Tamandua tetradactyla: one gene and its partner. The protein of the gene in region 1 purifies or fractionates together with the protein of each later gene. This does not show direct contact. Links are inferred from orthologs where the notes say so. Each region holds a gene or a part of one and is shown on either strand. Other genes may lie near its edges.

Region 1 (7,997 bases):
GATGAGCCATCAAAAGCCAGAAGTTGGAACACTAAGCAAGGAGGGGTAAGGAAGTCTTTGCTTAAGGTAGTTGAGGTTTATCTGCTAAGTTGATTGGTGAGGCCGTGCATCTGAGTTAAAAAGGCTTGAGAGAGTTACTTGGCATAATTTCTCCATCTTCAATGATTTACTACTGAAGTGCAAACATCAATTTTGGACTCTCTCCTGAGAAACGTTTAACAAAGTCAGTGAACTACTGGTACCTTGATATCTTTCTAGATTTGCCAAACTTTGATAGCTCTTTAATAAACCTATGCCTGGAGTTTATCTCTGTCTTTTTTTTTTTTTCTATTAAGGAAACAGATCTACTAGTAAATAGGCAGATGTAAAAATGATCTTCCTCTTTATTTCTCCATTGTGATATATATATCTTAGAATTGTTCAGAAGTGCACTCTATTGTTAAAGCTATTTGTGCCGGGTGTGCTAATGCACTCTTTGATTGAGTGAATTAGCAGTCATAACAATCTGGCAGTCTGGCCATAGAAGTGTGCTCAAATTGATTTGTGTTATGGCTGGACTGGAAAATCTAGTGTTAGTTGTTTTTTGCCCTGGGGCATTGTTTGTACCAAACTCCACTTTTCATTTAATTTTCCAATACATTTCGAAAGATTGAAATGCTTGTGATCAACATTTGATCCAGTTGCATTATTTAAAAAAAAAAAATGTGAAAGTAATTTCAGATTCCAAAAAACCTTGCTTTCAATTAGAGTAAACATAATTAGAGTGACGTCGTGCTCAGAATGGTAAATCTCCCATTGAATCTATTAAACATGTTATCTCCTTGTCCTGTCACTGAAAATAATTCAGTATATATCCGGAATGTACATCTGTATTTTTCTGTGCATGTTTCTAACACAACTTGGGGGGGGGAATTAAAATAATAAAATACTAATGAATCTTTTCTTGTTGCCCTTTCTGCATGTGTCTAAACTGTTTCTGTTTCAGTTAATGATGCTGTAAGAAAAGGATACTTAAAGCTTTTGGGAAAATTTGAGATATTCAAGAAACATGTTTGGATATATTGCCTTTAGGTTACTCGATCATTTTAGTTTTTTACATGCTAGGAAAGCTGCGTTTTCAATCTTTTTTTTTTTTCCTTTTTAAGTAACACTATTAATTACTATATTGAGACCCTGAAGATTTAAAGAAATGACTTATCCTGGCTTTGTCAATATTTGTATCTTTCTTACAATCTTCTGCTTTGCAGGCATTTACCAGAATTATAATGCAGCATGAATAAACCTTAAAACTGACTATTGATTACAGAGCAAGCTTTGCAAAATCATTTAGTCAGTTTCCCCACCTGAGAAATCAGTGAATAAAATAGGTCAATAGATAAGGATAGAATGGATGTAATACAGTGCTATACTTGCTTGGGTTATAAAAAGGGTCAACAATAAGTCACCACAGAATTCATGTTTTTACACTCAATAAAATAAAATGATACTTACCAAATTCCAACTATAAGCCCATCTTTCTAAGGATCTATTCTTCTTTCTTTTAACCTTAGGCTTTGTAAGTATGCTTTTATGTTGTCCTAATTTCAACAGAAGCATTTCCTTGTCATTTCCCCTTTTAACCATTTAGGATGCCCTTATCATCGGACTAAAGTGCTTGTTGTCATCCAGGTATTCACCATGACTTTAGCTGCAACAGCTACTTTGTATTTTCTTACTGTCTCCTGCAACCTTGCAGCTCTTCTCAAACCTGCATTTCAGAATGTACTGAACTCTATCCTGTGCCGATTTTTAAGTAATAGATGGTGAGACCTGAGACCACTCTCTCTTAGTTTCCATCATTCGGTTATCGTCTGGGGGAAGGGAGGGGAGGGGCTAGGAGGGAGGGAAGAAAATACCTTCCCTTAACTGGTACAAGCTCAGCTTCAAACGATATCCTAGGAAAGAAATTAAAGACTTCTTAATTAGTGCAGCAATTAAGCTTTCTTGGTAGCATTTTAATCAGCACAGGCCCTATCAAAGGACAAACAGAACGATTTGCAGGTCTTTGAATTTTAAACAGTCTTATTGATTTCAGCACAATGCATCTTCACAAAACACAAGGAGAATTTTCTAATATCCGTTACAGTACTTTGAGTTTTGCTTATGCAAATTGAGTGAATGCTGGGGAAGGTGAGATGGAGGGAGAGGACCTGAAGCAACTAGATGTAAAATAATAAACAAACAAGACAAAACCCCTGAAAGCTATAGATGCAATGGAAAAGAGTGAAGATTTGAAATCTTTCTTGAGTTGATTTATCTGCTGTTGTTAAATACTTTTTGTCTTAATCATTGGTAACATTTCTCAAAGGAAAAAGAAAAAGAAACCCTGAAGATTCTCAAGGCTTTTCTTTCTTAAATCCTTTCATTTATATTATGCTTTTTTTTCTAATGCTATTGCTTGATCAAAGGGGTAAGTGGTGGTTCCTTGAAATGGTTTATAGACCTAAGGTCTTTTAAACTCCCATAGCTTCTGACTAAGCACGTGCTGGGAGGCACAGGTTTCCCTGCAGTGTAAAATTTGGAGTTTGCTTCGAAGCAGGGTGGGATTATGGTCTGGTCTGTTATCATTACTTCCTGTCTGTGGTTTACAAATGTGGCAGGTATTGGGTAAATGATAATTTAAGGAAATATGATAAATAAGAATGGTAAGGCAGATTTTCAGCATTTAGTTTCCATTTTTTCCCCAAATGTGGGTCTAGAATTTAAACAAGCTGTAGTTTAACGTTTTAGAATTATGTCAGAGTTTTAATAAAGTTGTGCTTGTGATTCCAACATAAGATTAATTTTTCAAGGCTCAATACATGGCAATTTGAGATTATTTTTTAAAAAGATAGTATTTTCTAAAATGTGTATAAATGCTTAAGGAAGTGTTTCGATGGTATATGTTATAAATTGAATCATACTTTTTAATTGAGGACAGAGAAGTGGACTGAAAAATTAATATATATTATTTCTGAATATATTAAAATACATTGGCTAACCTCGTCCAAACAATTGTGTGAACTTTAGTTACACTTCTAGATGCTATTCTACTTTCCTGCAACAACCAATTTTCTGAAATCTTAGATCCCAGAAAAGCCTCCTGATATAACTGCTATGCCCCAAAAAGTTTAGCATAAAACGTAGACAAATTAGTCATGTCATATCTTTCTGTAGATATTTCCTGTAGTTTTTGACACTAAACTTCAAAAGGTTTAAGGAGTTAAAATGATAGAGTTACATGATCATAATTTCAACACCAAATGGCAGAAATTTCATTATGAAATCTCCCAGCACTGTGAATCTGCTGCTAATAGTGTATATTAAATATCTGTCAAATGCTAAAGCATTGTTTAATATCTTGTGTTACTGAACATGTGTAGACAGATTCAAAGCCTAATTATTTAAGATTTCTAGAGATACAAGCAGGGAACAGATTTGACCTATGCTCAAATCATATTTTCGTAAGAAATCCTTGAATAAAATAACACATGCAACAGGTTAGAAAAGAAAGGGAGAGAGGAAAGAAAGGAAGAAGTCAGTCTGAACTCAGCCAAATACTGTTTGTTAAATATAGCTTCCCTTTCTGCCTTTACAAATCAGTTAGTTAGCATTGTTTTTGCTTTCATTAGTTACAAAACACATTTTCACGATATAGTAAGAAGGGATTCCCAAAATATATTGATACTTTTCAATTATGGGGAGAAAAAAAAACTTGTATCATTCAAACAGCACACTGGCAACTACCCTTGGGTCTTAAAGGATAAGGGTTATTGGTTACTGTGCAATACAGGTAAATTAAGCTTAGAATTTTGGGTAAGAAAAACCGGCGTGTTCTTGTTTTCTACTTTTTAAATCTTCAAGGATGTCTCATCTGTTTGGATTGTCATGGCCTAACAGACACTCCTGATCTGCTTTTGAGCCAAAGTGAAGTTATTCTGAACGATCCACATCGTGGAAAGCATTTCTTTCTTTCCACAATCTATAAAGAAATAAAGAATTAAACACAGCGTGTTTCATTATTCTTAAGCAATTTCGGACTTTTTCCCCCCGCAACTTTAAAACTGTCCAATCTGGAATTTCCACTATCTTTATACAAAATAATGTAACAGATAAACAAGCAGATGCATAAAACATACGTTTTGCTTACTTTTCCTCAAATTAATTTCTTAATGATTATGCAGTGAGGGGATGTGTTTCCATTTATATCACGGTGCAAGAACGCGAGGAGATATGTCCTAAATCCTTTAAGAAGAGCTCGGAGCCTTCTGGCTCCTCTTTAAGTTGGGAGGCGATTGCTTAGAAGCTTTAGAAGAAAACTACGAGCCGTCGCGGACGAAACGGAACACAGACATGCAATCTAACGGTAGTAGAAGAGAAGGAAGAGGCAGACAGATGATCTCCCTCTGTTTTCCGAGCGCCACTTCTGAGTCCCTGGCTTGTTCTCTTCGTCCCTCCCACAGTTTCTTTCCTTTTCCCCCTTCTGCCCCCTCCCCCCTCCTCCTTTTCTCGCACGCACGCACACACACACACACACACACACACACACTCTCTCTCTCTCTCTCTCTCTCTCTCTCTGTCTCGCGCTCTCGGAGTCTTCTCCGAGTCCTGGTTGGATAATTTGGGTTAATACTAGTGAGTGAGGTTTTTGCGGCTTCAAAGGGTATTTCAAGTTTCCGGAGCTCCTCCCCTCTGCACCGTGTGACAACAACAACTCGTCCAGCCGGCAGCCTGCACTTTTCAGCTCATTTTCTCTCTGTCATTCACCTCTCAATCTTTGATCAATGTACTTGCCAGGGAGAACGCAAGTCCTTCAAACCTCCTCCTTTTCACCTTCATCCTTAACTTTGTGCTAGAGCGGGACCCACACAACAACAGCCGACCCTCCCCGCCCCCGCCCGCCCCCCCAAACCAGCCCCCGATCCCAGCCCCCGGAGAGGACTCGCATTTCGACTTGCGGGACACTTTTGTGCGTTTCTCTCCAGAGCGCCTCTCGCGCTCGCCCCTCCTGCGCTCGCTCTTTCTCACCTCTTCTCTAGCCTTCGTTCTCCCTTCTCCTCTGGTTCTCTCCTAGAGTTGTTGTTGCCCCCTCGCTCCTGCTCCCCACCCCCTCCCCCTGTTTTTCCTTCCCCTCCCCGGGGTTTGTGGCAACTTTTCCCCTCGCTTCTCCTCCTGTTTCCCCTTATATGTGACCATGGCAGTGCCGGCGGCTTTGATCCCTCCGACCCAGCTGGTCCCCCCTCAACCCCCGATCTCCACGTCTGCTTCCTCCTCCGGCACCACCACCTCCACCTCGTCGGCGACCTCGTCTCCGGCTCCGTCCATCGGGCCCCCGGCGTCCTCAGGGCCAACTCTGTTCCGGCCGGAGCCCATCGCGTCGGCGGCGGCGGCCACAGTCACCTCCACCGGCGGCGGCGGCGGCGGCAGCGGAGGCGGCGGCGGCAGCGGCGGCAACGGAGGCGGCGGCGGCGGCGGCGGCGGCAACTGCAACCCCAGCTTGGCGGCGGCGAGCGGCAGCGGCTGCAGTGGCGGTGGCAGCATTAGTGCTGGCGGCGGCGGCGCCTCCAGCACCCCCATCAACGCCAACACCGGCAGCAACAGCAGCAGCAGCAGTAGCAGCAGTAGCAGCAGCAGCAGCAGCAGCAGCAGCAGCAGTAGCAGCAGCAGCAGCAGCTGCGGCCCCCTCCCCGGAAAACCCGTGTACTCGACCCCGTCCCCAGTGGAAAACACCCCCCAGAATAATGAGTGCAAAATGGTGGATCTGAGGGGGGCCAAAGTAGCTTCTTTCACGGTGGAGGGCTGCGAGCTGATCTGCCTGCCCCAGGCTTTCGACCTGTTCCTGAAGCACTTGGTGGGGGGCTTGCACACGGTCTACACCAAGCTGAAGAGGCTGGAGATCACGCCGGTGGTGTGTAATGTGGAACAGGTTCGCATCCTGAGGGGACTGGGCGCCATTCAGCCCGGAGTGAACCGCTGCAAACTCATCTCCAGGAAGGACTTCGAGACCCTCTACAATGACTGCACCAACGCCAGGTAAAGAACCGGGGGGTAGCCTCCGCCGCTCGCGGCCCCTTCCCGCCCGCCTGCTCGCCCTTCCCTGGCTCCCTAATCGGCGCCGCTCGCTCCGCGCGCCCGCGAGCCGCGCGCCCTGGTGAGCGCAGCCCTCTCCTCCCCTTCCTCCGGGCTCGCCAGCCGCGCCCGAGCGCCTGAGAAGTTGGCACCTCACCCTGCCCAGATCTCGCTCTTCGGGCCCGAGCCACCCTTCGCTGGCCAGGGCTTGGCGGCTGTGGGACGCGCGCACCCCCGACCCTTGGGCCGGAGGGGGCGGGAAGGGGGAGAGGGCGCCTTTCCGGGAGCCACAGCTTCTTTCCGGACGCGCTGGCGTCTGGAGACCCCTCTCCGCGCTGCCGCCGCGTGTGAGCTCCCCGCGACCCGGCTTCCGCGGCGAGCCTCGGGCCCAGGCAGGCTTCGTCGGAGGCGCCGAACGGCGTACGGAGGGCTGGGAGGTCGTCACTAGGCTGGGCTGGGTTCGAAGGGCAGGGCGTCACGCTCCGAGTGAGGGGCTGGCGGACAAGCCGAGCGATTGGACCAAGAGCCGGGGAGGGCACTTCGAGGTCGTGAGGGGAGCGACTTCGGAAGCCGTGAGGCGCGAGGCAGTCCCTGGGCACCCGCAGCCACTTCAACCCCAAAACCCGGAGGGGAAGCCCGCCGAGGGGAGGGGTCTGTGTGTGCGCGCATGTGTGCTGTGCGTGTGTACGCGTGTGAGGTGTGCCTGTGCGTGTGCAAAGGAAATAAAGGGTGTCGTTTGCCCCGGGGCAGAAGCGAGGGCACCAGCAGGTGTCCTTTAAGGGGAGATGACCATGGGGTACTCAAGACTCTTGCAAGCCGCGCTGAAGACGTGGGGAAGAAAGAGGACAGCGGTCTCTCTCCAATTTTATTATTCTTTCTTTCTTTCTTTTTAAAAGGTTGCCAGTAGCTCTAGCAATCGAGCAGGTGCAAGCTTTGCACTGGGAGGCTCTCAGGGGTCTGAGTCCTCCGTGTGGTCGCTTCCCGACCCGCGGAGCGCGCGCGGGGCAGAGACCGCAGGATTGATTCTCCGGCGAGACCAGTTTATGCTAATGAACGCGCTGTGGGGGAGGATCTACCGAGAGGGGGCGGAAGTGGGGCAACTTGTCAGTTTCGGGGTAGAAATGATCTTTCCACCCTTTTACACTTCCTCCTGTCCCCATCGTTCGCTCCTGGGAATCTCAGAGGAAAAAAAAATTAAGATCTCACAGGAGAAAGTGAGGAGGAAAGTTGGAGCCTTGGAGCAAACGGGTGGGACCTGGGCGCAAAATTTGCGGGGACACTCCCTTGCTCTTCAAATCAGATTAAAGACCCAGAGAGTGAACTGTTTTACTCTTTCAGGGTCCGTGTTCCTAGTAAAGCTAGGGTAACAGAGGTGGAAAGGAAAGAGGATTAAAACGACACCAGAAGGAAACCAGGTGAAAAAGCCCCGGGCTATTTTTTACCTTGAAGGGAGATTCCCACCTAGTGCCCAGGAAAGCTGTAAAGATGAAAGACTCCAACTCCGACCCACCAAATGTCCCATCGGAACAATCCAGAAACTTTGTTTCCCGATTTATTTGCTATTCTTTGCAAATAGGGTATGGGTGTGTGTTTGGGCTTTGAACTCGCATTTTTACTATTTTGGGGGTGGATGCTGAGTGTATGTGTATGTGCGCGCGCGCGCGTGGGTTTGCGGTGGCAGTAAAGATCGAGAGGCAATCTTTGTTAGTAATCATTTACTCAGATAATTGGAGTCCTTGGACAACCAGAAGATATTTGCAAAAAAAAAAAAAAAACTATTAAAACTACTCGAATCAGGAAGGAAAACGATTACAGGATAGTTAGAAAGAACGCTAGTTAAAATCTAAGGCCAGTTCAGATATGGTTGTTATAAAATCTTCTACCTATCCAGTAAATTGGTGAAGTGCTCT
Region 2 (7,378 bases), on another chromosome or scaffold:
TTAAGCCACTGAGTTTTTTTAAGAGTTCATTATGGCAGTATAATCTAGCCTATTTTAACTGATAAAAACAGGCACCTAGACATAGGGAAATGCAAAAACAACAGTATACACAACAACAAAACTAAAGATTCATTTACAGGGCAATAATTAAGAACATTGTTATCAGAGGATGAAAGGATGACGATCCAATTGACAAACGTATCACTGTGATAACTAAGATGGCAGATCAAGAACCTACCCAACAAAAGCAAGAAGCTGTAAACCAGAATGTTAGTAGCATCTGTTGGTTGCTGTTGGGCACTTTTAGAAAGTTATTATAAAAATAAAAATAATAATTTCAAAAAATCAAACAAAAAAAATTCAACAAATGGTGCTGCAATAACAGGATACTCACATGGAAAAAGAATGAAATGTGACCACTGCCACACAGCATACCAAAAAAACAGAAAAGCTAGAAAGTAAGGGCCAATTAAAGAAGGCCTGGATATAAGAATTGATCAAGGGGAGGGCCTTCAAATTTATTGTTAACACCTCTGGATAAGATGTGTTAAGATGCTACACAGCACATATTTTCAATTGGACAAAATGGCTCAGGAAAAGGGAGAAAAGGTATGACTCTCCCATTGAAGCCCAATAAGCCCAAAGCATTCAAAATCAAGTTCAGGGTGGGAGAAATGAGAGCAAGAAAACTGAAAAAAATGTGACAAACCACAGAACTTAGAAACATGTTTAGAAAAAAATAGTGGCTGAGCTATTAGCACATGGAATACCTGGAATCAAAAAGGTAAGAAACATAATACATTTCTGAGAGTTGTACTGCGAAAAGAATGTGAGACTGGATTCAAGTTTGGGGATTCAATATCCCCCAAATATTACAATTTTATTTAAAAGCCTATTTTCCAATGCCTACATAGAAAGCAAGACTCTCTCAAAGGGCAAAGCCAGGGGTCACAGAAAACAACAGACAGGGCAGATATACTCATGGAGTGATACCAGAGTCTAATTAGGGTACTGGATAGAGAAGTCCTCCAAATGTCTGCACAGTGGACCAATATCTGCTGTGGTCTCTGAATTCTTCCCTTTCCAAATGGGAGTGTTGGCTGCAGCTGTACTGTCTCTGTCCCACGATTACATTTTGAGGTGTGGAGGATAAGTATCTTGCCCTTAGATGAAGAGGAGTTACATGTGAATCTGATGTAAACTCTACTACCAGCACCAGAAATCCTGGACAGTGAGCTTAATGCTGAAAATGGATGGTTCTGGTTATCTCCCTTGAGGAAGAGTGAGGGAGTTTTTCCTGTGGAAGGAGAGTAAGCCAAACATTTTGTGAACAGAAAGGGAGACTTACAGAACATTAACATTCCCCAAATATTCCTGGCTCTCTCCCTTCAATACACCTGGCAGGATTACACAGATTTAAAGTTAGGCATGCTCATGTAACTTGCTTTGGCCAATGATATGTGTCCCTTCCAGGTGAATGCTCTGAGAGCCACTGACTGATATGCCTCATTTTCTCCCCCTAGCCAAGGTAGTTGTAAGAAGCATGTATCGAGATGAAGCTCCTTCCTTAAGTGACTCCTTAAGTGATTATAGGGGCAGAATCCCCTGAAAACCCACGTCGGACATGGAACATGAGCAGGAAATAAACTCCCATTGTGTTAACCCACTGAGATGTTAAGGTTGCTTGTTATAGCTTTCCTGACTGATGCTGGGAGTGAAAGATGAGACTGGAGAGAGCAGGAGAATAAATTATGAAGGGCCCCTTCTGCCAGGCAAAGGAGTCAGAACTCTCCTATAAGAAGGCAATGAAGATTTCCAAGCAGGGGCGTTAACATGAACAGATTTGTTATTTTTTGGATAAAATACACTATTTCTCAACAGAAGGAGAAAATCAGCCTACTAAACCACATAAGGCAGGGAGGAACATACAGAATCTTCAGGAAAAAAGGTATATACCCAAATTCCTAAGTTTTGGAATTTCTAAATAAGGGAGCTGAACGGAGTCTCTGAAAGGAGTTACAAATCAGAGGATCAGGCGAGACAATTTCTCCTATCCTACAAACTCCATTTTCTCTGCAGACAACTAATATTTCACAAGAAAGTTTGCCAGAGCCAAGAAGATAACAGGGAATATTAATTTCCAGCTCCCTGTATGACTTAGCAAGATACTTAAACTCTCTGAATTTACTTCCTTATATGTCAAATACAGATAATAATAATTATACATATTATATATATTATATCAGTATACACATATATCAAGATGGTTGTAGGGAGAAAACAGCACATTTAAATTGCCCGAAAAATGGTAAGTGTTTAAAATATGAAAATTATTCTTATTGTTATTGTAAAAATTACTAAGAACACAAGTTTTCTGATTACAACAAAAAAATGATTATGGACAACAAAACAAAGAATGAGCCTCCTTCAAGGAAGGAACTGGATCTTGTCACCCCTGTATACCTACACACTCCTCCTCACTGTACCCCAGCCTCAGTGGGCCTGACTCACAGTAGCCACTGTTATCCTCTGCGGCATGAGTGAATGAGAAGTGAGCGCCCAGAGTGAAGAAAAATTGGCAGATTTCCCACTGACACCACACCAGCTGCTGTTTTACTGTTGATTCTGAAGTCTCAAAGCCACAAATACCTTAAGGCTGGAGATTATGAACTCAAGACAGAATTCCCCCAATCTCAGAGGAGAAAAACCAGAATTAGACCCTAGGAACTTAAACTGCTTCAATTTCAAGCCCCAGTCTCAGACAGAAGACCTGATAAAGAACTGATTTGTAAACCTTTCCTCCCTCACCCCTTCACTCACCACCTCCCATTACTGCTCCTCACAAGAAAGTGGACTTGTACTGCCAAATCAAACTCTCCTAACCTGGCATTTCATCCACTTCCTAAAAGGCTCGGGGAAACTTCCAGGAAGGGGGCTATGGAGGGACCAACTCCCTAGGCCTGGAAGCTATGATGCTACGTTGACTCCGGGTAGCCGAATGAGGTAGATGGGTCCCACTCGCAGTTGAGGGACCTGAAGTACCGAGTTCAGTGCTTTGCTTCATTTCACAATATAGCAGCCCTGAGCCACGAGAGAACCCACGATTCCGGATTTCGGTATTCTTTACACCACTCACTTCTGCCCATAAAGGGGGGGGGGGGCGGTGGGGGAGAGATGGGGGTGGGGAGAAATCAAATTACAGAAAAAAGAGCCACTTACATGTGTCTAGCGCTTCCTAGAGGCTGCACAGAACTTGGGCCCACCACCCGGCAGGGAGCAGAGATTCTGAATACTAGTTCTACCCCTAAGGCGTTGCGTGACTATTGCTAAGTCTCTGCCACTCTTGAGACTTGGTTTCCCGGAAGCAAATCCGAGCCGGAGTGGTGAATGTATCGTGGACAGACGATCACCCGGGTTCCCCGAGTTTCGGATTTCCTAAACAAACGCTCGTTCCCAACTGGACGCTGAGTTTGCCCCAACCCTACCTCATATAAAAACCTCCCCTCTGAGGCAAAGCTATAACCCCCCGCACGCTCTCCCTTAGGAGACTTAGGGGGTAGAGGATGAAATGGGGTGCAGCGGAGACTTGGCGGGGCGCCCAGTTTCAAGCAATGCAAATCATTCGGGTCTAGGCACAGCCAGACGGCGGCGAGAACTGTCGCTCCTGAACTCGACCAAGACAAACTTCGGAGCGTTCTCAATGGAGGGTGTTGACTCCCAACACACCGCCCCTAAACTGAAGCGCACTTTCACTCGCCCCACGGGAGACTTTACAGAACCACCTTAAGGGCTGCGTTCCCGCCCTCCGGAAGTGCGGGGGTGGGGCACAGACGCGGGCTGCCAGCCTCCTGGTCCCGCGAGGTAGAGAAATGTCCGTAGGTGACTTCGAGCCGCGACCCCGCAGTGGGAAAATGCCACCGCCCACACACCCTCGGTCCCAGACTACTGGTCCGGTTCCCCAGCCTTCCGGGTCCCCGCATCCCGTGCATCCCTGTCGCGAGCCCTGAACTTGAGCCTGCCTCTGTCAGAAGGTGCGAGCGTCAGCTCCCGTCCGCCCGCTCGCGGCGGCCACCGTCACTGGACAGTCAAACCCCAAGACGTCAGCCCACAATGCATCGGGCGGGTTGGGGAGAGGCGGGTGAAGAGAGGCGAGATCGCGCGGGAGGGGGAGGGGGAAAGGAGGAGAAAGAAGGGCCCAACTGTAGGAGGGCAGCGGAGCATTACCTCATCCCGTGAGCCTCCGCGAGCCCAGAGAAGAATCTTCTAGGGTGGGGTCTCCATAGCGACAGGCGGGCCCGCCCCCCAGAGAGCGACGCAAGCCAATGGGAAGGCCTCGGGGTGACATCATGGGCTATTTTTAGGGGTTGACTGGTAGCAGATAAGTGTTGAGCTGCGAGCTGGATAAGGGCTCAGAGTTGCACTGAGTGTGGCTGAAGCAGCGAGGCGGGAGTGGAGGTGCGCCGACTGGGGTAGACAGACAGATAGACACAGTCAGTCAGTCAGAACGGCAGTGGAGCCCGACCTGCAAGTCTTATTTTCTTTTCCATTTCCTTACTCACTGCCCAGAGCTAGAGCCTGTGGCTCCGGGCTGGTGTTTGGGGAGCGCCGGGAGAGCCCCTTCTCCAGCCGCCCCCGGGAGGAGAGCCCCGCTGCCCAGGCACTGACTGCCGCGGAGAGCGACGACTGCCTGGGGAAGTCCAGCGAGTGGCTGCAGCGGCAAGGAAGTTTCCCGACCGGGAGAGAGAACAAGTACCGCAGGTCCGGGAGAGAACTTTTGCAAACCTTTCCTCCGCCTTAAGCTGCCGCGGCGGCGGTAAAGAAGGCGGCGGCGGCGGAGTGAGGAGAGAGAAGAGGGACGTGCACCCCAGCTTCGCTCTCACGCGTTGCTGAACTTGGGCGAGCGCGAGCCGCGGCTGCCGAGCGGTCCCCCCTCCCCCTGGTAGCGGAGGAGGGGACAGTCGTCGGAGTCGGGGCGGCCGAGACCTGTCGCCGGCCGGCCACTGCGGGGTCCGAGCTGACCAGCGCCTCCGGGAGAGCCGGTGTCCCCGAGAAGCGAGTCCGTCTGCGGAATCCGAGGAACCTTTACGCCAGACAAGCGCTCAGTGAGTGACCGCGACTTTTCAAAGCCGGGCAGCGCGCGCGAACAGACAAGTAAGAAAGAGTGCAGGCGGCACTTAACCCTGAGTTCCCTGGAGCGAGCCGGTGAGGAGGGCGCCTAGGGGAGGACAGCCCGCGGGTGTGCGCACTCTTAGAGAAACTTTGCTTGCCCAAGGCCCGGGGAGGCGCGGGTGTTCCCCGTTTGTCCGCGCGCTGTTGCGGCCCCCAAAACTTCTGCGCGCAGCCCAGACTAACCCCACTTCAAGCGACGGACTGTTCTATGACTGCAAAGATGGAAACAACCTTCTACGACGATGCCCTCAACGCCTCGTTCCTCCAGTCTGAGAGCGGCGCCTACGGCTACAGTAACCCCAAGATCCTGAAGCAGAGCATGACCCTGAACCTGGCCGATCCTGTGGGCAGCCTGAAGCCGCACCTCCGCGCCAAGAACTCGGACCTCCTCACCTCTCCCGACGTGGGGCTCCTCAAACTGGCGTCTCCCGAACTGGAGCGTCTGATAATCCAGTCTAGCAACGGGCATATCACCACCACACCGACCCCCACCCAGTTCCTGTGCCCCAAGAACGTGACCGACGAGCAGGAGGGCTTCGCCGAGGGCTTCGTGCGCGCCCTGGCCGAACTGCACAGCCAGAACACTCTGCCCAGCGTCACGTCCGCGGCACAGCCGGTCAGCGGGGCGGGCCTGGTGGCCCCGGCGGTGGCTTCCGTGGCGGGCGGCAGTGGCAGCGGCGGCTTCAGCGCCAGCCTGCACAGCGAGCCGCCGGTCTACGCCAACCTCAGCAACTTCAACCCCGGCGCGCTGAGCAGCGGCGGCGGGGCGCCCTCCTACGGCGCCGGCAGCCTGGCCTTCCCCGCGCAGCCCCAGCAGCAACAACCGCCTCAGCCGCCACACCACCTGCCCCAGCAGATCCCGGTGCAACACCCGCGGCTGCAGGCCCTGAAGGAGGAGCCGCAGACGGTCCCCGAGATGCCTGGGGAGACGCCGCCCCTGTCCCCCATTGACATGGAGTCACAGGAGCGGATCAAGGCGGAGAGGAAGCGCATGAGGAACCGTATCGCTGCCTCCAAGTGCCGGAAAAGGAAGTTGGAGAGGATCGCCCGGCTGGAGGAAAAAGTGAAAACCTTGAAAGCGCAGAACTCGGAGCTGGCGTCCACGGCTAACATGCTCAGGGAACAGGTGGCACAGCTTAAACAGAAAGTCATGAACCACGTTAACAGTGGGTGCCAACTCATGCTAACTCAACAGTTGCAAACGTTTTGAGGAGAGACTGTCGGGGGTTGAGGGGAAACGGAGAAAAAAAATGACACGGAGGGACGGACTTGAGAACTTGACAAGTTGCGAGAGAGAGAAAAAAGAAGTGTCCGAGGACTAAAGCCAAGGGTATCCAAGTTGGACTGGGTTGCGTCCTGACGGCGCCCCCAGTGTGCACGAGTGGGAAGGACTTGGCGCGCCCTGCCTTGGTGTGGAGCCAAGGAGCGGCCGCCTGCGGGCTGCCCAGCTTTGCGGACCGGCTGTACCCGCGCGAACAGAACGTTAAACTTTTCTTTAACATTGACCAAGAACTGCATGGACCTAACATTCGATCTCATTCAGTATTACAAGGGGGGAGGGGGAGGGACAGGGATTACAAACTTCAATAGAGACTGTAGATTGCTTCTGTAGTACTCTTTAAGAACACAAAGGGGGGTGGGGCGGGGAGGGGAGGCGGGAGGACGGTTTGTAGAGAGGGAGGCTGAGCCAACAGATGAACTCTTTCTGGCCTGCCTTCATTAACTGTGTATGTACATATATATTTTTTAATTTGATGAAAGCTGATTACTGTCAATAAACAGCTTCATGCCTTTGTAAGTTATTTCATGTTTGTTTGTTTGGGTATCCTACCCATTGTTGTTTGTAAATAAGAGATTTGGAGCACTCTGAGTTTACCATTTGTAATAAAATATATAATTTTTTTATGTTTTGTTTCTGAAAATTCCAGAAAGGATATTTAAGAAAATACAATAAAATATTGAAAAAGTATCCTCCACCTCTTTTCTGCATTATCTGTAGATTAATAATGAGTGGAGTTGAAAGAGTTAAGAGTGTCAAAATCTCAGAGCTTCTTACTATCAAGCAGTAAAAACTACTCTCTACTGGACTTTAGAAATGTAGCTGATGCTCTCCTCAAGTTACATTATTGCCTCCCCCCAACTATCTATGTAGGATTGCTCACCAAAGGATAGTGTGGTCTTTCAGGTTGCTTTAAAGTTTGTATCAAGT

What was found.
Region 2: the proteins of DACH1 (region 1) and JUN purify together in Homo sapiens (affinity purification with western blotting; 3 studies listed by BioGRID and IntAct, with this or other methods). This does not show direct contact. The link is inferred for Tamandua tetradactyla from reciprocal best matches to the Homo sapiens genes DACH1 and JUN.

Annotation. Positions count from the first base shown.
Region 1 is NC_135330.1:138,971,685-138,979,681, reverse strand, and holds the start of DACH1 (dachshund homolog 1), read left to right. Parts: upstream 1-4,983; 5' UTR 4,984-5,212; coding exon 5,213-6,051; intron 6,052-7,997. UniProt on the Homo sapiens protein: Transcription factor that is involved in regulation of organogenesis. Seems to be a regulator of SIX1, SIX6 and probably SIX5.
Region 2 is NC_135328.1:162,050,105-162,057,482, forward strand, and holds JUN (transcription factor Jun), read left to right. Parts: upstream 1-4,376; 5' UTR 4,377-5,377; coding exon 5,378-6,379; 3' UTR 6,380-7,138; downstream 7,139-7,378. UniProt on the Homo sapiens protein: Transcription factor that recognizes and binds to the AP-1 consensus motif 5'-TGA[GC]TCA-3'.